Kluyveromyces lactis: one gene and its partners. The protein of the gene in region 1 interacts with the protein of each later gene in a biochemical or structural test. Links are inferred from orthologs where the notes say so. Each region holds a gene or a part of one and is shown on either strand. Other genes may lie near its edges. The genes, in order: YME1, TIM9 and TIM10.

Region 1 (8,819 bases):
AACTATGGAAATACATCCGAAACATATTCTTTTAGCCAGCATATTTTTGGCATGCAAATCAGAGAACTATTTTATAGGTATTGAAGCCTTTGCCAAAAAAACTAAGTCTCAACCCACAACTATTCTTAAGTACGAGTTCGATGTGCTAGAATCGTTACAGTTTACTTTGTTAAATCACCATCCATACAGGCCGTTGCATGGGTTTTTCTTGGATATCCAGTACATTTTACATGGAAAAGTCGATTTAAATTATATGGGCCAGATCTACACAAATTGCAAGAGAAGAATAACCGAAACTCTTCTCACAGATGTAGTATATCATTACACCCCACCGCAAATTACACTTGCATGCTTGTTGATAGATGATGAAGCGTTAACGCTAAAATACTTGGAAGTGAAGTTTGGGAGCCCTCCTGAGGAGCAAAAGGACTCGGAAACGGAAGGCTTGAAAACGGAAGAAACACCATCAGATACCAAATTACCATCTAATTTAAAATTGCAAACTTTAACAGCGCTAATACGAGAGTGTCAGGCGATGATTTTGAACGTTGAAACACTTTCCAAAGAAGAGGCAACTAAAATTGACGCAAAATTGCATTACTGCCAAAATCCAATGCTGCTGGTAGATAGGATGCGCAGACAAAAGCAACAACGTGATAGCTCCGCTGAGCTTACAACGGAACCGGATTCTAAAAAGTTGAAAGTGTAGTAGTATACAAGTTAAGTAGAGTTCTCAATGAAAACTTCCTAAAGTTCATTCATTCATACGAATAATTGTTATACAAATATGCATATATACTTGCGAAGAGAACTATTATCTTCATTTATAGTCTTTCGACAGGGGTAAAGTAGTGACTGCCGCTTCTTCAAGAAGGCCGGCCAATGTTATATTTACAAGACACGTCAATGCTTTTATGCTTTATTATGTGAAAATGCTATGATCTGTAATTTCATATAACACTTTTAAAATTAACCACTCAATTTGGGTATTCTGTACAAGTTGCAACATAACCATTGTAGTGGGGTTCTTCAAACAGGTCAAATGCAGATACAGAAAGATGGTCGGTGAAATGTTCAATCAATGGTGTAATGCTAGGAGTCCGTATCCAATGACGTTTTAGTTCTGCGTCTGATCATGCTTTAATCAGTACCGGAATTTTTGATTTATCACCGCCGATTTCCTTACGATCATCGCTGTCTGGTCCTTCAACCACCGTAGTAGTGGCCATTTTCATTTTATTGATAGGTTCTCCTTTGCATACCTTCTGAATTTCGGTACTATCTAATGTTTCGTATTCCATTAATCCTTGAGCTAATCTATGCAATTCCTTTTCCCTTTCTGCTAATAAGGCTCTCGTCCTATCTTCTGAAGCTTTCAAAAGTTCAAGTACTTCGTTATCAGCAACGTCACGAATTTTTCCAGACCATGAGTCCCACTTATCAGCCAAATTTACTGGTCCGACTTGTTCACTCATACCGTACTGAGTAACCATTGCTCTAGCAGTGTTGGTAGCATTTTGTAAATCCGAACCACAACCACTGGTAGTATTTTCCTTACCATAAATCAGTTCTTCTGCAATCTTACCACCCATGCACACATCTAACCTAGCTAGACATTCTTTCTTAGTGATGTCCACCTTATCCATTTCAGGAAGTTGGAAAGTGATACCTAATGCCCTGCCTCTTGGCAAGATAGTTGCTTTGTATAATGGCGTTGCCCCGGCAGTGTACAGTGCCATCAATGCATGCCCGGCTTCATGATAAGCGGTGGCTCTTTTAGTAGCTTCAGTGAGAACCATAGTTTTCCTTTCAGCACCCATCAAGATTTTATCCTTTGCCCATTCAAAGTGCTGCATATCGACAGCAATAGCATTTTTCTGACAAGCGTATACGGCGGCTTGGTTAACTAAATTCATCAACTCAGCACCAGAAAGACCTGGGGTTCCTCTTGCAATGATAGTTGGGTCCACATCAGGAGCAACAGTAACCTTCTTCATATGATGTCTCAAAATGTCAGCACGCCCGCGAACATCAGGTAAGTCAACATTGACGACCTTATCGAATCTACCTGGTCTTGTCAAAGCCTTATCCAATGATTCTGGGAAGTTAGTGGCACCGATGATAATTATACCGCTTGTTTGGGAAAACCCATCCAATTCAACCAACAATTGATTCAAAGTTTGTTTTGCGTAAGCTTGATCTTTGGGATTACGCTTACCTCCAATAGCATCCAATTCATCGATAAAGATAATAGCAGGGGCACGAGCGCGGGCCTGTGCAAACAACTCTCTGATACGCTTGGCACCAACACCTACATAAACTTCGTCAAACTCTGACCCTGACATGAAGAAAAAGTCAACACCAGCTTCACCGGCGGTGGCTCTTGCCAATAAAGTCTTACCAGTACCTGGAGGTCCGGTCAATAGAACACCTTTAGGTAACTTACCACCCAAGGATTCGTATTTGGTAGGATCTTTTAAGAAATCGACAATTTCCTCCAATTCAGCTCTAGCTTCGTCACAACCCCGCACGTCATCAAATCTTACATTAGTCTTTGCAACATCCACAGATTTATCGGCGACTTCATTTGTCTTGAAGAGGGTTGAATGTTCTGTAATGTATTTGAAACCTTCAGTCAAACCGTATGTAACTGCACCAAATACGATCAACCATTTTAACCATCTGGAAACAATAGAGAATGTGGATTCAGTGACAACAACATGTAGAGGTTCCTTTTTGGATCCCATGTACGGATTATAGATGCCAGAATAACCAGATGAAACACCTCCAGTAACTTGGGCAGCAGCACCGTTAGCCGATGCAGCGGAAGAAGCACCAGATGAAGCCACGGCAGGAGGAATACTTCCAGCTGGAGCAGTCGTCAACAAAGTCTGCCTCACAGACTCAGCATCAGCGTGCCTACCGATCCTTTGTAAAGCTTCCATATACAAAGCCATACATTCAGGCGATGAAGTAATACCAGGAGTTTCAAATCTCGAAACAACGTATTGCGGATAGTTCGATTTCAAGAGAAGTTTATAGAACTCCGCTTGCGCACTTGGGTTAGACAAATCTTTATTAGCTTGCTGTTCCTTAGTAGCCAAAACAGCGTGTGATACAGGTCCATTTGCCGGATCAATATCACTCGAATTAATCCCGTTTAGTTGCTTGGGCTGCTGAACATTTTCTGCACCACTTGTTGCCCCATTTACAGTGTTCTTCGAGTCCTCCGAATGCTGAGAACCTGTAACACCATTATGATCCTTGCCTGTTTGGTTCTTGTCCGAATATAATCTGTTTTGTAGCACGCTGCCTGTAAGAAAATGCTTTCTATGCAAAGTCCTTAAAATTGGCCCTGTCAAGACAGGGGCTTGACGAATCAACACTCGAGAAGCGTTCTTGGCGCACAAACCAGAAACACCAATCAACACCGGAAGCGTCATCTAGCCTTTAACACTTAATAAGTACACCGTAAAAGTGATTTTTTCAAAGTACCTGAGCTGGTATATACAACTTTTTCGTTGCTTCCTTTGTTCACTATTCTTAAAAGCCTTTTGCCTCTTTCGTTGCCTTCTAAATGACCCGAATAATCATAGCCATATATATCCTCATTCTAAAGAAAATAAAAACCTTTAAATTTGACAAATGCTCAATTTACTCAAATTTCAACATTATCAACAAATTCTTGGAAGCTGATGAACGCTCGTCCGGGTGGCGTTGCATTTCATTAGGGAGAAACTCTACGTAACAGCTGAAATCCGATTCGAAAGTGCCAGAAAAATAAAAAGGAACGAGGTCTTTTTAGACGAACATCACGTGATCAATACTCTTCTATATACAAACAAAATAATTACGTCGGCTATAGTTCGGCTACTCCTTGCCAATAATTGCGTCTGCAATCTTTTCAGGGAACCGAATGTCCAAGTCTTGGTAGTTTGTAGTGTCGTTAATCGTAAATCCATACTCATTAGCGAGGTGAAGAAGGCAGATAAAGCAGAAACTGGTTGAGAGATCCTTTTTGGCACTTGAAGTGTACATGTTCACGATATCGTGAGCGATATCGGTGAATTTCAAGTCATAGCCCTCTGCTTTTGTTGATATTTCTGCTGATATATCCTGCTTTCCCTGCTTCTCTTCGGTCAGATGTGCTTCTGATTCGATATCATTCTGAGTAGTTTCCTCATTCCGAGTAGTTTCCCCATTTTGTTCGTCTGTCTTCAGTACATGTAAACGTTGCCATATTGACTTCCACACATTATTCTTCAATTTTCTCACATCTACCTTTTTGGAGGTTCTGGAGTAGGTCATTTTATTATTTGCAACTAATCCTTGCGTGTTTACGAAATCTTCTTTTGTATCCATATCCAAATCTTCATCTTCGAAGGCTTGGTTGAAGTCAATGCCGTTATCCTCTTCAAACGATGGATTGGTTGATCTTTCTATCTGTGTGTCATCTTGCTTGTGCTCTTCTTCCCTTTCATGCAGTTGATAGTTTTCAGCCCAAAAGCGTTCGTCTGCAATCTCCGGAATATTACTCACTTCTTTGATTTCGGTATCATCAAATTTCAGGGACCCAGGTAACCTGGCTTTACTGATCCTCCTGTGTGAAAAGAAACTCATCTTCTGCTCGGGCTTAATGAAGAGCCTTGTGATTTTATCCGTTGTGAATTTATAGTCGTCCGGTAGTAAGAAATGTGAATCATTTGTTCTTTGTTTCACTGATAGATCAATGAACCCCTTTTTATTTGCAAATATTTCTTCTTCAATGTTATCATTCAGATCCAAGAAATCAATCTCAAACTGTTTTTTGGGTACCTTCTTTTCAACTGCTGGTTCATGATTCCCATCGGCTTCAGTTGGCTGCTGTGGTTTGGCCACAGACTCCTTGCTAAGTTTATCCTTGATGTTTCGTACCTTCCAGTGTTCTCTACCCCTCCAATTCTGACCTATCGCTGCGTCAAAGTAAGATAGTAACTCTTGATCGAGTACGCTCGCATCGCCATACGATTTGTCATCTATTTGTGACATATTCTGTTGATTTGATAGGGCCAGCTGTTCTTCTGGTTCGTGAATGTTATCCGCTGGCTCAACGTAGTCCATAGAACCTGCATCAACAGCAACATCCTCACCATCCTCTGGTGGCATTTCGTAGTTGAACTCTGCCTCCGCATCGAGTTCAGGAAGGGTCTCTAGATCTTTTTCTGTCAAGAATTTATCAGATTGGCCATTCACTCCTTCAACAAATGACTTTGCTTTTCCAATATCCGCTACTGCACTTTGGAGCTGATCCATCGATGGACACAATATTGAGGTTTCAATAGTATTAAAATCTAAGAATTTGACACCGAGATCTAATATATCATCCTCTAGCAATGTGACTGATGTATCTGGGGTTGATTCTACATTTTCCTCATTTGCTGAACCCTTTTCTGAATCCAAGCCAAATACCTCCGAGGTCTCTTTTGCTGATTCGCTGACTTCATTATTTTCTTCCTGAACTTGACTTTCAGTAGAGGCCAATGGTTGCGGTTGTTCTTGTTCAGGTTCAGTCGTTGTTGCGTCAAAAACAACTCGGAGTTTTTCATCAACATGTAACGTGTTTATAAGTAAGCTCTTCGCACCACCCTCATCAAAATCGGCGAGTGCCTTCTTGAACAACGGATCTATACTTAGGTTTTGTGCTAAATCTTTCAGTCGTATACTTTCAAAATCAACTAACGTCGTTTCTAACACTCTATTGTACGTCCTTTTTTTTTTCGCGAGAGTCTCTGGGTCATCACGGGCAATCGGCAGACCAGTTAAAGGATCTACCTCTAGACTGTCATCATCTTCCTCATCTCCATCATCGTTCTCTCCGTTTGTATTGGATCTAATTTGCCTCCCTTTCCGTTCTGCCAATCCACTTAGTAACTTCCCTGTTTCAGTAGCGACGGAATCGACTCTATGAGAGTAGATTTTCACACAACCGTCTAACGTCGCCGAAGCCTTCTGGAAATTAATATTATCCTCCTCATCTTTCAACACGTTCAAGTCATGAAAATAGTCAATTAATGCGAAATTCCAACTGTTTCTTGAGTTGATTTTGTTGTCCGTGGCCATTTTGATCCATTCTTCAAAGTTAGCCATCATAGTGGACTTATTCGTGAAAAGACCGTTGTCATCATCGTCATACGGTAATTGGGTAGTCATTGCTACTCCTGAAAACCTAACCAAGGTAGCTTTGATAAAGCAGCTGAATAATGCTCACAATTATCCCGTTTCCTGACTTGCCTCTGTTTTCCTGAACAGCTTTAAATGGATCTGAATACTGCGTCCCGATCCTTCAATGTTTACAAAACATCAAATAAACGTAAACATCAAATCGTGATTAGTGACTAAGTTTCCACGTGAGAAGCAGCTGCATAAAGCCTTGGTTTGAACACTTTAGGAGCATCTCAAGCGTTTCCCATGATCACATCTAATGCATCTGATTCGATTTTTGGTAAGTATAGTCATTAATGTTTGCAATCACTTCCTGGTCTACATGACTTCTTCACTTTTATTTCAACATGTCAAGATATTAGCTAGAACTTTAAAATTTGTTTCTTACATTTAAAATATCACATTAAAACATTACTAACTAGCTAGATAAATATCTACTTAATTGAAAGTTCAACAGTTAAGCTATTAAACAGAGGAAGACAAAGGGGAATTAGAGTGAATTTAAATACACCAGGCATTCTGTTCAAATTCTCTTTAATTCGCAATATTATTACTTGATAAGTTATCAATTAGTGTGAAAAGCGATGACATGATGATAGTTTGAGCTAGCTTTATCATGCAAAGGAGGTTAATTTCTACCAAAAAATATTTCTACTGACATAAAAATATTAAGTGTTGAGTTGATTTTAGATCTCGGTAACTTCCAATTCTTCAGCCTCAGCCTTTTCGTTCCATTCGGCAGCCTTGATGGCCATTCTGTGGTGTTTATCGAGTGGTGGTTGTCTCTTAACATTCTTTCTTCTTAGGAGGTTTTCTTGAATGTTAGGCCACAATTCCAATAGTTGATACTTGGCTCTAACCCTTAATGGTACATCAAACACTTCATCCAATTCTTCCAAAGTCAATTGCTTTGTTTCAGGCATGAAGAAGTAGACTAAGAACCAACCGATGACGTTCCAAGCAGCATAGAAACCGAAGGCACCTTGAGGCTCGAAGGCACGTAGCATACTTGGCCAAGTTAAAGATAGAATGAAGTTGAAACCCCACAAGACAATGGTGAAAAGAGATGCACCAATGGCACGGACGTACAAGGGGAAAACTTCACCAGCGATAACGAATGGAACCACACCACAACCGAAAGAGTAAATGGCAGAGAATACGTAAATACCCATCGAAACAACACCGATTCTTTTTTCTGTATCATCGATCCAGAAAGAAAACCCTGTAATCAAAAGGAATACTGCCAACCATGGGAACGTGTTTAATAGAAGGAATCTTCTTCCAAATCTGTCGATCATGAAGAAGGCAGGAATAGCAAAGAAGAAGTTAATTAAACCGAAGCCTAGGGAAGCACACAATGAAGAAATTTCAGTGAAACCTGATTGCAAGAAAATGGCAGAGGAATAGTACGCAATAACATTAATTGCACAGAATTGCTGCATGAAGGCACAAATGAAGGCACAAATCAAGGCGTTTCTGTTTCTTCTAACAGTGAAGATTTCCCTTAATCTAGTCCAGTAAGACATTTCCAAAGAGTTTTCTTCCATCAACAAAACGTGTTGATAGAAAAGATCACGACAAGCTAGGATCTTGTGATTTCTAATCTGGAGGGTGGATTCATAAGCTTCCTTGTAACGACCTTTACCCATTAACCAACGGGGAGATTCAGGACAGAATGGGATTTGCACTAAAACTAAAATAGCAGGAATCATAGCACTGGCTAACATTAATCTCCAATTCAACCCACCGGCAATACCAGCTCTTCCAACTCTGTAAAAGATCAAAGAGAAAACGTAACCCCACATGATACCGAAAGCAGTGAAAGTTTGCCAGTTCATACAGATGATACCACGTAACTTTTTGGTAGAACATTCAGCCAAGTAAACGGAAGTCGTAGCACTCTTAGGACCGATACCAAAACCCAACAAAAATCTCATGGCAAACAAATAGTGCCACCCTGGAGTACCAGCTGGACCGAAAGCTTGTAAGAAACAGGTGATAGCAGAGATAGCACAAGTGATGAAAATAACCTTTTTACGACCAAACATATTGTTCAACCAATCGGTAGCCCAACACGAGACACCAGCACAACATAGATAAGGTGCACCGTTAACAAGACCTTCCAACCAATCGTCCCTCTTGGATCCTGACCCTAAACCCAATTCTTTAGGGTAGAACAAGTTAGCACCATTGATAACAGTTTCATCCATACCTTGCACGGCAGCACCCATTGCACTGGCAGCGATAATAGCAATCAACTTTGGAGGGACTCTCCAAGGATGATGAATTTCATCGTAACAAGCAATACGTTCATCTTCCTTTAGAACATTTAACCTGTCGTATTCGTTTGGTTTTCTGGCCAAAGCAGCACCACGAGCGAAAATATCATCATCATTTGGCAACTCGTACTTCTTAGCAAAAGCACGTCCCATGTTCATAACCTGCTCTTCTGAATATTCAGCCAATATATTTTCTTCTTGCACACTATTCGGATCCCTTCCTTCTGGATCTTCACCAATACTAGAAATGGAACTGTCATCGTTCATCGCAACGAAAACACCACCACCGGCAGATTTCCTCTTTGCCTCATGAAAGCTGGTCACTTCTGCATTCGACAG
Region 2 (6,584 bases), about 1.4 Mb from region 1:
ACAATACAATAATCTTGTGAAGACTGGTCATAAAGTCGATAAAGAGAATCCCTATCAAGAAATAGTTGAACTATCTCTCAAATCTATCAATTTAACTACACATCTTCTTAATACAAAACCCACCGTCTCGAAAAGTGAAATTATCGCGATTATTCAAGCATTATCACATCAGTGCTTGAATCCTTGTTTTCAATTACGTTCTTATGCTCTAAGCTCCCTCGAAAATCTACTTCTAAAACTGTTGGAGCCATTTGTTGATAATGTGATTTCAGTTATAGCCCTTATTGAAATGGGTTTATATCCGCTAACAAATGAAGTTGACGCTGATTCCAGAAAAGCGGTACCTTTGCAGAACTTCTTGTCGTTGTTATCAAAACTATATCTACATTACTTGTCTTTAGAGAAGACTGACAATGAAACTTATTTGAAAGTGTTGAGTATTTTTAATAAGCATGTCGATGACGGAAAGGTAGAAGAACAATTACAAGACATGATCACTAAGAAACGTGAAATTGAGAAGAAGCAAGGTACACCAAGCACAGATGCTGAGTCGGTGCCCGCTGAACCTACCCCAGTTTCAAAATAAACATTGTGTGTCCCGCACTATGATAAATTCCAAACGTCCATAATTGAACAGATGCATTAGAATGTTAATTAAACTGTCTTGTCTACTAATAAATATTTACAGATTTCATTTATAAATTTTTTTCATTGCAGTCGTTTATACTCCTCAGGAGAACGCAGTTGCGACCTCATATAATCAAGCAAAAGAAGACCGGCAGTAGTTCCAGGAATAATTGCCAAAGTATTCCTAGTAAAACCTTTATATAACCAAGCAATGGTTTCTCTCTTACTTCTCTTCATGAAAAAGAACACATGCTCGAATGTATCCAAGTATGAGTTGTAATAGATGTGAAACCTACTACTGCCTTTGGGTATCCTTATTTTCGTATTTGGAATATTTCCTATAGTTGTACTAGACGTTGATGGTAGATTTTTGAGATAAATATCGTACGCTTCAAGTCTAGAGACGTGGATTTTCTGTAGCTTTAGGAACGGGAATTGCACCGATTGAAGAACAAAAGCTGCTGTAACACCTCCAATAAAAATGAAAACTCTTGAATACCACATTTCCTCTTTAGGAGAAATTAACCTTGGTTTCTTCGTTTCAATCTTATTACCATCTTCATCGAAAAATATATCCGAGAGTCTTGTGTTCTGCACCGTATATTTTAGTTCCCTATAATTCTTGATAAAATCTAACATCAATTGGCGAATTGGTCCTCTGATCATTTCAAAAGTAGTGAAATACAATGCAAAGCCAAAGGATTCTCTTATGAATGATAATCCAAACCCACCAAAGCAGCCAATCAAACCAATCTCTCTGATCTTATCACGACTATAAAGCCATAGATTATCATATTTTTTTGCGCTGGATAAAAGTTCATCAATGTTTGCTCTTGTATAAATGGCATCTATTGGAGCTGAGACAATGGCTTGTGCAGCACCTGCAAGGAATCCTGCTCTTAAAAAATCAAACATATTATGTTGAAAAGCTTGATCTGTAGCCCTCAACGGAAAATTATTCAAAGTGGCTAAATAAGTAGTGTATAGCACAACTCCCGCCAGCGAATTGGCTACTAATGGCGGTAAAATTCTGTCAGGTATGACTTTCCAACCATATCTGTTCAATGCTTTAGTGACGATTCCGATTGAAGAGTTCTCCAAATAATAAGTATACTTTGGATTCCAAAACCGATACCTCGAACTTCGTACTTTTGTCTCGGACTGTGTATTATCGCTACCTGTAAGAAGTACTCGAATGTAATGAGTATAGTCAAATCTAGCTGGTCTGAACAATTTTAACGGAGTCCTCATGTAAAAAGATGTTAGTTGATACACCATAGATCTTCCACCAGCAGTAGCAGCACCCACAAGAGAAGAGGTTTGGTTTGATAATGAATTGACATTTGCTTTATCTGAAACATCTTCCAATCTCTTGTTGGCATCAGAAGACATCACTGTCTCTTCCCCTTAATGATCACTTGAACAAAACTCCGATAGGGTATAGTCAATATGTGAAACTGGACACTATATCAAAGCAAAAAGTAGTGTTGGATGCTAAATGGGATCGTTTTATTTAGGTTCTATCGAGGAGAAAAAGCGACAAGAAGAGATAGACCATGGATAAATGATTATGTTCTAAACACTCCTCAGAAGCTCATCGAACTGTCATCCTGCGTGAAGATTAAAATCCAACTTAGAAATTTCGAGCTTACGGAGACAATCATATGGGAGAAGCAATTGGAAGATAGAAAAAAGGTACTCGGTACATAAATATATGTGATTCTGGGTAGAAGATCGGTCTGCATTGGATGGTGGTAACGCATTTTTTTACACACATTACTTGCCTCGAGCATCAAATGGTGGTTATTCGTGGATCTATATCACGTGATTTGCTTAAGAATTGTCGTTCATGGTGACACTTTTAGCTTTGACATGATTAAGCTCATCTCAATTGATGTTATCTAAAGTCATTTCAACTATCTAAGATGTGGTTGTGATTGGGCCATTTTGTGAAAGCCAGTACGCCAGCGTCAATACACTCCCGTCAATTAGTTGCACCATGTCCACAAAATCATATACCAGTAGAGCTGAGACTCATGCAAGTCCGGTTGCATCGAAACTTTTACGTTTAATGGATGAAAAGAAGACCAATTTGTGTGCTTCTCTTGACGTTCGTTCGACTGATGAGCTATTGAAACTTGTTGAAACGTTGGGTCCATACATTTGCCTTTTGAAAACACACGTTGATATCTTGGATGATTTCAGTTATGAGGGTACTGTCGTTCCATTGAAAGCATTGGCAGAGAAATACAAGTTCTTGATATTTGAGGACAGAAAATTCGCCGATATCGGTAACACAGTCAAATTACAATATACATCGGGCGTTTACCGTATCGCAGAATGGTCTGATATCACCAACGCCCACGGGGTTACTGGTGCTGGTATTGTTGCTGGCTTGAAACAAGGTGCGCAAGAGGTCACCAAAGAACCAAGGGGATTATTGATGCTTGCTGAATTGTCTTCCAAGGGTTCTCTAGCACACGGTGAATATACTAAGGGTACCGTTGATATTGCAAAGAGTGATAAAGATTTCGTTATTGGGTTCATTGCTCAGAACGATATGGGAGGAAGAGAAGAAGGGTTTGATTGGCTAATCATGACCCCAGGTGTAGGTTTAGACGACAAAGGCGATGCATTGGGTCAGCAGTACAGAACCGTCGACGAAGTTGTAAGTGGTGGATCAGATATCATCATTGTTGGCAGAGGACTTTTCGCCAAGGGTAGAGATCCTAAGGTTGAAGGTGAAAGATACAGAAATGCTGGATGGGAAGCGTACCAAAAGAGAATCAGCGCTCCCCATTAATTATACAGGAAACTTAATAGAACAAATCACATATTTAATCTAATAGCCACCTGCATTGGCACGGTGCAACACTACTTCAACTTCATCTTACAAAAAGATCACGTGATCTGTTGTATTGAACTGAAAATTTTTTGTTTGCTTCTCTCTCTCTCTTTCATTATGTGAGATTTAAAAACCAGAAACTACATCATCGAAAAAGAGTTTTAAACCATTACAACCATTGCGATAAGCCCTCTCAAACTTCCTCCAGACTGTTTGTCATCCAATTGGTAAGATTAATTATCATATACCCCGGATAAGAAAAGAAGCAAGCACACAATGGATCAACTTAATGGTAAGGAACAACAAGAGTTCCAAAAAATCGTGGAACAAAAGCAAATGAAGGATTTCATGCGTCTATACTCCAACTTGGTCGAAAGATGTTTCAGCGACTGTGTCAACGACTTCACATCCGCTAAGCTTACTTCTAAGGAACAAAACTGTATAATGAGATGTTCAGAAAAGTTCTTGAAACACAGTGAACGTGTGGGTCAACGTTTCCAAGAGCAAAATGCTGCCATGAATCAAACCATGGGTCGTTAAAAGGTTTAAAGAAGAAATTCTCCCTACCAACCTCAAATTTTATTCTGTACATACTTCATTATATTATAACATTATATTATAACATTATATCATAACATTTTATCGTAGCTACTACGATTACCATAGATTTTAAGGACTATCTCTCCCATGTATATTCATTCTGTTTCTGTATATAGAAAGGTTTGCATTTCATTGCCATATGACTGGCCAAAAAAAGATGCTCCTCAGACACAAGGTAATCGGTATTGTGTTATCTGCGTAAGTTGCAGACTCCCTGCATTGCACTCAACTAGGCATTGTCGTAAATGACAAGCTAAACTGTCCGTCCGTTGTCCCTCCCATGTCACGTGGTCTCCATTAGAGAAGAACTGGCGACTTGATTTATTATAACAACGACAATAGGGCTCAAGCTGAAGTTCCATTAGAAACAACCTTCTCACGAAGCGAAAATCCCGTTAGGGATTTGCTTGATTATAACTCACCGGGGGTTTGAACCCTCGGCGAGCGGACAGCTGCGTTCCACCGAATTTCCCACCTGGAATGAGGAGAACAACTCCTCTGATCAAGTAGAACATTCAAATCACATGACCTCTTCTCAAAACACTTCAAAGTAACGAGCATCCACCTTATACTTAAGAGTGAATATTCTTTGAAGCGCTTCAAGGGCTTAGTATGAAGTTGAGAACAGGAAATGAATTGCCATATTTGATCTTTTTGTAACCAGGTTCATATGAACAGAGACTTTGTGTTCTGAGGAAGATTCGAACCGAAGTCGCAACGTGGCCTTTTTACCAGCTACGGCACAACACCCGACTCAAACCAATTACGAATTCATTCAGTAGTAGACCCTGTCACGTGTGTGTCAGGTGTCATTTCCGTAGTTCAGAGTATCATCCACGAGGCCAAGGACGAGAATATAATTAAACTTATGTAAATTATCAACTCCCTATAACTCATCATCTGTGAGCATCAATTCATCGTCAGCTAATGGCGTGAATTGAGGACCTACTTCAACAACGGCAGGTCTCACAAACCCGCCGTAATTCTTTTTTACTGGTCCGAAATACTTCGTTCCTTGGAATGTACCATTGTTCTTACCGTCAGGTTCGTCAAATTCAATTCCACACCATACATCTGTATTACTGATCTCTTGAACTTTTCCCACGTATCGTAACCATCCTCTTCTTTCGGGGACCTTGGTGGAATCGGTCGTTGTTTCCTCGTTGGACAGTACTCTGCATCTTTCTCCAACGTGTTTTTGTAATAGTTCTGCCTTATCGATATTCAGTTGTAGTTGTTCTTCCATCTTAGAGCGGTATTCAGGATTAAATTTCCCTAACTTGTTATCTTTTTTCCATTGTAATACAGAATCCCTTCTGTTCTCATAATCGTCCATGGTGTATCGGAACGAAACGTCATCGCTATTAGCATGTAGCAAATCATTTTTCAATTGGCTTGCTAAACTGTTTTCGTTGGTGTCTATCACTTTTATGGACTGGATTTTCTCTACTTTCTGGTCTTTGAGATCTTTCAAATACTTGCTGTTCTGTGCATTGCCATTTATCACCAATTTCATGTCTTGAACATCAACACCGGTCAATTCGTTCAATCTTTGGCCCAGATGGTCCCATGATGTACCAGGTTTCACAAAGATCTGAGTGTTAACCAAATCGGATATAATTTCCACGTCAGATGACATTATCGGTGCTGATATATCCTCTGTTTTATTTTGTCTTCGATGCTGTAAGTTCAATGTTTGTCGTTTTGTCCAGGCATGTTTGAACATCGAATTTTTCAATGTTCCGTAAACTTAAATGAAAAGTTAATTTGAAACCAGTAACACACTTTGACAATAACCCATTGAGCAAACAGCGCTACCCCACCCAACCAACTACTAATAATGAGCGAAGCAGTATGTTAACTACTATAATTAGGACGGCTTTCTAAAACTTCTTCAACTTTCTCAAAACAATGATCCATTCTACATTTTAAGTTCAAATTTACTAACAGTTAGAGAGTTTATACATTCCCCTTCTCTGCAGAGGCAATCACAACAACCGAGACAAGAGCAGAAGAAGAAGTTCGAAGGCCCAAAGCGTGAGTCTATCATAAATCTTGCACAATATAAGGACACAGAAGTACGTGTCAAGTTCATAGGGGGAAGACTGGTCACTGGAATCCTAAAGGGTTATGACGAGCTAATGAACTTGGTTCTTGACGAAACCGTCGAATATGCAAGAGACCCAGAAGATGAAACCATCATCCACAAGGACCAAGCCAAAAAAATTGGTTTGGTCGTCATAAGAGGAACAGCTCTACTTTCGCTATGTTCCCTCGAAGGTGCTGAGATCATCAATACCTAGTTAAGACCCAAAAAAAAAAAATTTCAAGCAACAGTGTACCATATATGTTCATTAATAGTGCTATATAACGTTCAGTGCTATATCAAACTCACACTATGAGCCCATATCCACATTTCTACCTGTATCTAATGAAATAAGTATCTCCAACGGAGATACTTTCCTAACCGGCTACATCTCACTTATCAAGACCTAATCTGCACAAATGTGCG
Region 3 (6,603 bases), on another chromosome or scaffold:
GAAGTATTTACCCCAGCCCACTGAAAAGTAATAGAGGTCCCCAAAGGAAAAGCACCCGTACTAAAACTGCCGTCGATTATAATGAAGATGATGAGAACGAAGAGGTAATGTAAGTTACGAAATTCCATCATTACCTAGCTATATATCTGTCATAATTTATCTAAGGAAATGTTTTTTATCATATGTAGTTGTTTCTATATATAAGTCTTCAACTCGCCGATGAAGATGAAACATAAAATAACAAACAGCTCCATTGAATACGGGCATGCGTGAACCTTTAACTATTGAGTAAGTTTGAAAAATTCAAGAACTTCTTTTTTCGGTTTCGACTCTAAAAGCGTTTTCAACTTTTGAAGAATCGTTAACTCGGACTCATCTATGGGTTGAATTTTTGCCTTTTCCTTCAGCAATTGTTGTTCCGATATTTTACAGAGTTCCTTAAAGTCCCATAATCTTTTGAGGGTACCGGACGTTTGGAAGTATAAGAGGTTGGATATATCATTCAATATCGGGGTTTGATTTTCTGCTGCAACTAATTTGTCTAAAATCGTAGAATGCTGACACAAGTCTTCAAACTGCTGTACACGTTTCGCCTGATAAACCTTATCTAAAAACTCTAGTGCGACATTCTGTTCTGTAAGTTTTGATAAAGTCCAGGAGTCCGCATCTATTGCTATTTCTGTATCTCCGTTGTTTCTACTTCCTATTGGAAGTACTATATATTTCTGTTTTCCCCTTGCTAAACGTCTTTTGTATGATTTTGGTAATGGGGCATGCAACGGGCATTTCCACTTCGATCCCAGGTTTTTCAAGGATGCTCTAGGCAGTGGAAGACAATCTAAGTGCCATGGTGTTGAACAGTAATCGCAAGTCATTATCAGTCGTTGGGAGTCCGGATGGTCCCATGTTCCCATCTTTGATTCTCCACAATTATAGCACACTAAAAGTTCTCCAGAATCCTGGTTGAAATGATACTCTGGCTGATAAGAATCCATCCGTGTGACAGACTGCCCGTACGCGGAATGAAAAATTTGTTTTTCATTGATATTTTCTTTAAAGTGTTCGTCACGATATTCTCCTTGCGACCCCGAGGAGACCGAATCGAACGTTGATTTGATAATAGACGGCAATTGAAATTGGAACGGATTTTTCCTTTGAAGATCAAATGTTAGAGTACCGAATAACTGATACCCGGGTTGCTTGAAATGGTCTTGTAAAAACCTTGTTTTCAACTTTTTTTCAGAGGACAGTCCGTATTTATTAGACTTGATCCATTGCTTGAATCGGCATTCATCACAAGACCAATCACCTTCTGGTAGATGGCTTGGATCCAAAGGTGGGTTACAGCAAGCAAAATGGAAAGATTTTGGACAAGTGTCACAGCATAAGAACACCCCAGGACCATGACAGTTGGAACAAAAATCGTCATTTTCCTTGTTATTATCCGGATCAATTTCTGGAATATGTAAATGAGAAGCTTTATCATTTTGTCCAAATAACTTGGTATCTTTATCCTTGGTAGATTTCAACCTTTTCGCCATTTTTAGTGCTATCGATTTACTGGGCGAATTTCGTATAGGATCCTGTAGCATAAAATCCGAGTCAGCCTCTTGTTTAATTCCTGAATTTTTGTTGTGTTTAGTGGGAGTGTTCGCTCCTATGCGTTCATGACTTTGTACGGTCAATTCATTTGATTTTTCAGTTTGTAGTTGTCCCTCATATTTAGCCTCCATGCTGCTCTTTAATGCCTGTAATATATTGGATTTCTTCTTCTTATTGTTACCATTTCTGTGTTTACCACTTCTATTATTGCTATCATCATTGTCGTTATTATTGATGTTATTGGTACTATTATTATTGTTACTGTTGTTGTTACTCGATCCCTTCGGCTTCTGAGATAATGGCGTCCCTGTCATAGCATTTATTGGATCATGCACTGGCGGCTCCTGAAACGTTATATTTCCATTACTATCCTTAAGAATGACTGGTCCAATAGGTTCTGTCGATGGTTCTTGGGACGGTGATGAAGATATTGAGGATGTACTTTTCGTTGGATAATCATCACTTGGAATAATCCGTCTCTTTTTCAGATTATAATCCACATTGGCAGTACCTGACCGTTTGGGCCTCGTTACCTCCATATTTTTTGTCATGAAGCCGGAAAGTAGATGTACTGGCACGTAATTTTTTTAGCCGGTACTTTCCCCTACTCGTTGTTTCGCGTTGAACCATAATTTAATTCAATTGTTAGATGCGTTCAATTAAATTTGTATCGCACTTTTTTATTTTTTTTCTGTATTCCAATATCACGAACCTTCGATAGTTGAAGTCGTATACACATACCAGCTATATCAATGATAATGGAATCAAAATGTATATAGTTACGGGAACAGGCTGAGGCGTCACCAGTCACATTAAAATAATAGAAGCAACCATGGACGACGAATTGAGAGCCATTAGAGAGGCCAGATTGAGGGAATTGAAGCAACAAAGTGGAGGAACATCAGAATCAGCAAACAACGGATCGAATGATGGTCAAACACAAGCGATATTGAATCAGATTTTGGATTCCAATGCACAAGAAAGATTGAGCAGGGTAGCGTTGGTGCGGCCAGAACGTGTAAAGGCAGTAGAAGCTTATTTACTACAAATGGTGCGGTCCGGTGCTATTAGAAACAAATTAACAGAGCAGGACATCGTTGGAATCCTCGAATCAGTCGGAAGAGATGAGCAAAAGCGCAATACTACACGTATTATATTCGATAGAAGAGAAAAAGGAACAGCATCATCTAGTGTGGATCAAGATGACGATGAAGACGATGATTTCTTTGACTAGTTATCTGTCTTCAATATATCAGGTTTTAACAGAGAAAGAAAGTAAGATATACATGCATATATAATTACAACGAATGAGAACTCAATCCTCATAAGTACCAAATAATTGCAAGAATCGGTAGTTCCAAAGGTTCAATGACTACTATAGGTCAATGCTCCCTCTGTCAAATCAATACATGTCCAAATCACGTGCATGTGACCGGGTAACGTATATTTCCTCATATTTCTGAAAATTTTCAGTATAGCAACTATTCGTCAGGAATTGCAGTTCACTAAAATTTAACTAATAGCAGTTAAATGCGTTGACAACTAGACTGTTGTTTGATCTGTAAATATTTATTGACGTAGTTTATCGTAGTGATTAGTCTTCTATTCATAGCCACAGGAATACCACTCCTACAATAACAACATATAAAAATCATCTTCTAAGAAATGTTCGGTCTAGGCGGTCAACCTCAATTATCTTCTCAACAAAAGCTATCAGCAGCTGAAGCTGAACTAGATTTGGTTACTGACATGTTCAACAAGTTGGTCGACAACTGTCACAAGAAATGTATTGAACAAATTTATAACGATGGTCAACTAAACAAGAACGAATCTACTTGTATCGACAGATGTGTTGCCAAGTACTTTGAAACTAACGTTAAGGTTGGTGAAAACATGCAACAGCTAGGCCAAGCTTTCTCTCCAGGTAAATTCTAAACCCGATGAGGGAAGCTTAAGCCGGGACGTTAGTGCATAATCTTTTTCGCAACTTTTCACGTTTTATCATGTACATATATGACAAATTTTGTATATACAAATATATTATATATATATATTAATTATCTATTTACAGAGTTTTAAAAATGAGGTAATGTCGGAGTACCAAACGATTAGGTTTGTGTATCTCGATCAAACCGATAAATATAGAGATATAAATGTATTTGCTAATACCGTGATGTGTTTTTGTCCATTATCTTCCCTTAGGATTGAAAATTTGGACGATCCCTTCTGTCTTTAAAATCCTAGCATTTTCATAACGCGTAATTTACAACCTTCAAAAGTATTCACTTTTGGTCTAACGTCCAAATATATTGGAGGAAGGTGGTTCTTTTCAGGTTCTGGATTCGAATAGAAGTCGATGACATAATCTATTTGTTTCCCGCAGCGATCGACGACCCAATCGTGCCTATCAAAAGGTTTGGTCATTCCAAGGATTGAGGATCTAAACCATGCTCTTGGGGTTAACTTCTTTGAATCGCCTTTGAAACTAGTCAATTTGATGCCACCACAGACATCTCCCCCTTGTCCGTCTTCCCAAATTTTGATATAATTCCATACTCTTTCATTAACGGAATTGTGGATGGGAACAACGGCTTTCATATCCACAGCTTCGGGATCCCAATTTTTTCTCTTCATTGCCTCGAAGAATTGCTTCTCTGATGGATAAACCCAATTATCCGATGTTCCGGTTCTAGGAATGGAGGATTTCTCTCTCTCTGTTGGCAAATTAACAGCTGTGGTATATTTCGGGTGTTCAGGTATCTCATCACTTGAACATTCGACATCCTCAGTGATGATCGATATGATTGGTGCTGGTGCTGCTGCAACTGCAGCACCGCCAGCAGAGCCATTAACGGTCTGTAGATGGTTTTTCAGCCATACATCCTGGGAAGAATGGTCTACCGGACAAACTCCTGACCCTTCAGAACTAGCCGGTGGATGATTTGGAGGTAGTGCTTTTGCTGATTCATTCTTATTATTAGTGCTCTGTTGTTTCAACCACACTTCCTTCGTGGAGTCATCCACAGGACACTTAGGCTGTTCTGGCATTCTTTTGCACTCCACAGTTAGCTTCTAAACAGTCGCGAATCCCCTTTAAGCCGCCAACGATGTTGCTTCTATATTTCGAACTATTGCGTTCAAGCCTATCCTGATGAAATGCGCATGAATAAGCTTTCCTGTATTCGCATGTTCTGCATACTTTTCCATTTCATTCATTTCTTTTCAATTGATATCAAATTGATGAAGTTTCAGAATGAAATTGATATCCACGGGAGATGACATTTCATTACCCGAATGTGCGACAAACATCCTTGTTTCTCACGTGACTTGACCTCCAGATGGAGACAGCTCTCCGTTGTACATAGCAATCGATCTTGCAGCCACCGTTAACATATTGTGGTGCAGTAATTACCTGCAGAGCGACTTCAACCTAAATCTGAAACAGGGACGTTGCTAGGAATGTTTTTTAAAAGGAAGCAAACCCTTAAACAGTGTCAAGTGCTTGTTTGTTTTTTACTTGCTTGTTTTATTTTCCAATTGAGCTTGATTTTAGTTGTCGTCTCTGTGAGATTTCTAGGGTATCTGAGTTGAGGTTCTTGACTCAAAGCTTCATCATGTTTTGAGGTTCCTATGATAAAGGCTATGCAATGCTAAATCAGGAATGTAAAGTAAATATTGCTACGTTACCTTTTAATATTAACATATATATAGACGGATTGGCCACATCGTGCCAACTACGGCGAAAACGTGAACTATAAAGGAAAATGAAACAAATGAAAGAAACTGACGCTGGCCGGCAAGAAATTAAGCATTATGGGTTGCGTCGCAAGTACAGGAAACTATGAGAACGAGGATGATCCCTTCATTCAAAATAAAAGGGCAAATGATCTCATTGAGCAAAATTTACAGCAGGAAAGGAATAAGAATAAGAATGAGGTGAAGCTCCTTCTATTAGGAGCAGGAGAAAGCGGTAAATCAACAGTGTTGAAACAAATGAAACTCCTACACCAAGGCGGATTTACCCATAGAGAACGAATGCAATATGGACAAGTCATCTGGGCAGATGCAATTGAGTCGATGAGAACGCTAATCTTACAAGCAGGCAAGTTGGGCATCGAATTGGATAGTGATTTGAAAAATGCACATTCGGGGCAATTGGTGAATACGGAATTACACCAATGCAAAGAGAAGATCTTCCGTGCTAACACATTGGACCAGATTGATGCCAGAATGGCGGGTGGTTCAGAGTTCCTAAACGAGTATGTGTTGAAATATAATGGCATAGGATCTAAGAAGAAGAGGCAAACCACGCTTGGATTCAAGGAATCAAATGGTGCTGATCCTGAAGAAGAGGATGAGACAGACGCTTTCTTGAGTGAAAAATTAGCCGGGACAAGTTATACTGGTTCCTCGGAGACTTCAGAGTTGAAACGTATAGACCAAAGTACCAACGAAGAAATTGCCTATGCAATCAAAAAGCTTTGGACGCAGGACAAGGGGATCAGACAATGTTTCAATAGGTCAAGTGAATTTCAATTGGAAGGATCTGCATCGTATTATTTTGATAACATTGAAAAATTCGCTCGAGTTGATTATGTTTGTGATGACATGGACATTTTGAAAGGAAGAATTAAGACCACTGGGATCACCGAAAACAGTTTCAAGATTGGACCAAGCACGTTCAAAGTTTACGATGCTGGGGGACAACGAAGCGAGAGAAGAAAATGGATCCATTGTTTCGAAGGTATTACTGCTGTGGTATTTGTAATAGCAATTAGTGAATATGATCAAATGTTATTCGAAGATGAAAGGGTGAACCGTATGCACGAATCGATAGTATTATTAGATACACTATTGAATTCTAGATGGTTTGCCAACACACCTTTCATACTATTCTTAAACAAAGTAGATATTTTCCAAGAAAAGGTGAAGAGATCTCCAATCAGAACATGGTTCCCCAATTATCCAGGGAAACTGGGTGATAGCGAGACTGGACTGAAA

The links.
Region 2: the proteins of YME1 (region 1) and TIM9 form a complex in vitro, tested with the Saccharomyces cerevisiae proteins (2 studies listed by BioGRID, with this or other methods). The link is inferred for Kluyveromyces lactis from reciprocal best matches to the Saccharomyces cerevisiae genes YME1 and TIM9.
Region 3: of the proteins of YME1 (region 1) and TIM10, one has a biochemical effect on the other in vitro, tested with the Saccharomyces cerevisiae proteins (2 studies listed by BioGRID, with this or other methods). The link is inferred for Kluyveromyces lactis from reciprocal best matches to the Saccharomyces cerevisiae genes YME1 and TIM10.

What each region holds. Positions count from the first base shown.
Region 1 is NC_006041.1:606,054-614,872, forward strand, and holds YME1 (i-AAA protease YME1), read right to left. Parts: upstream 3,444-8,819; coding exon 1,134-3,443; downstream 1-1,133. Other genes in the region: TFIIH complex kinase subunit CCL1, read left to right, coding at 1-709; condensin subunit BRN1, read right to left, coding at 3,871-6,189; KLLA0_E06755g (sugar porter family MFS transporter), read right to left, coding at 6,888-8,819. UniProt on the Saccharomyces cerevisiae protein: Catalytic subunit of the mitochondrial inner membrane i-AAA protease supercomplex required for mitochondrial inner membrane protein turnover. The protease is probably ATP-dependent. Important to maintain the integrity of the mitochondrial compartment.
Region 2 is NC_006041.1:2,032,369-2,038,952, forward strand, and holds TIM9 (protein transporter TIM9), read left to right. Parts: upstream 1-3,748; coding exon 3,749-4,012; downstream 4,013-6,584. Other genes in the region: KLLA0_E22727g (uncharacterized protein), read left to right, coding at 1-586; KLLA0_E22749g (uncharacterized protein), read right to left, coding at 709-2,019; URA3 (orotidine-5'-phosphate decarboxylase), read left to right, coding at 2,627-3,430; ALF1 (Alf1p), read right to left, coding at 4,959-5,711; Sm-like protein LSM7, read left to right, coding at 5,913-5,924, 6,055-6,375. UniProt on the Saccharomyces cerevisiae protein: Mitochondrial intermembrane chaperone that participates in the import and insertion of multi-pass transmembrane proteins into the mitochondrial inner membrane.
Region 3 is NC_006042.1:2,401,182-2,407,784, forward strand, and holds TIM10 (protein transporter TIM10), read left to right. Parts: upstream 1-3,267; coding exon 3,268-3,537; downstream 3,538-6,603. Other genes in the region: sister chromatid cohesion factor PDS5, read left to right, coding at 1-113; RCO1 (Rco1p), read right to left, coding at 282-2,153; SDD2 (Sdd2p), read left to right, coding at 2,435-2,836; cytochrome c1 heme lyase CYT2, read right to left, coding at 3,835-4,650; GPA1 (guanine nucleotide-binding protein subunit alpha), read left to right, coding at 5,416-6,603. UniProt on the Saccharomyces cerevisiae protein: Mitochondrial intermembrane chaperone that participates in the import and insertion of multi-pass transmembrane proteins into the mitochondrial inner membrane.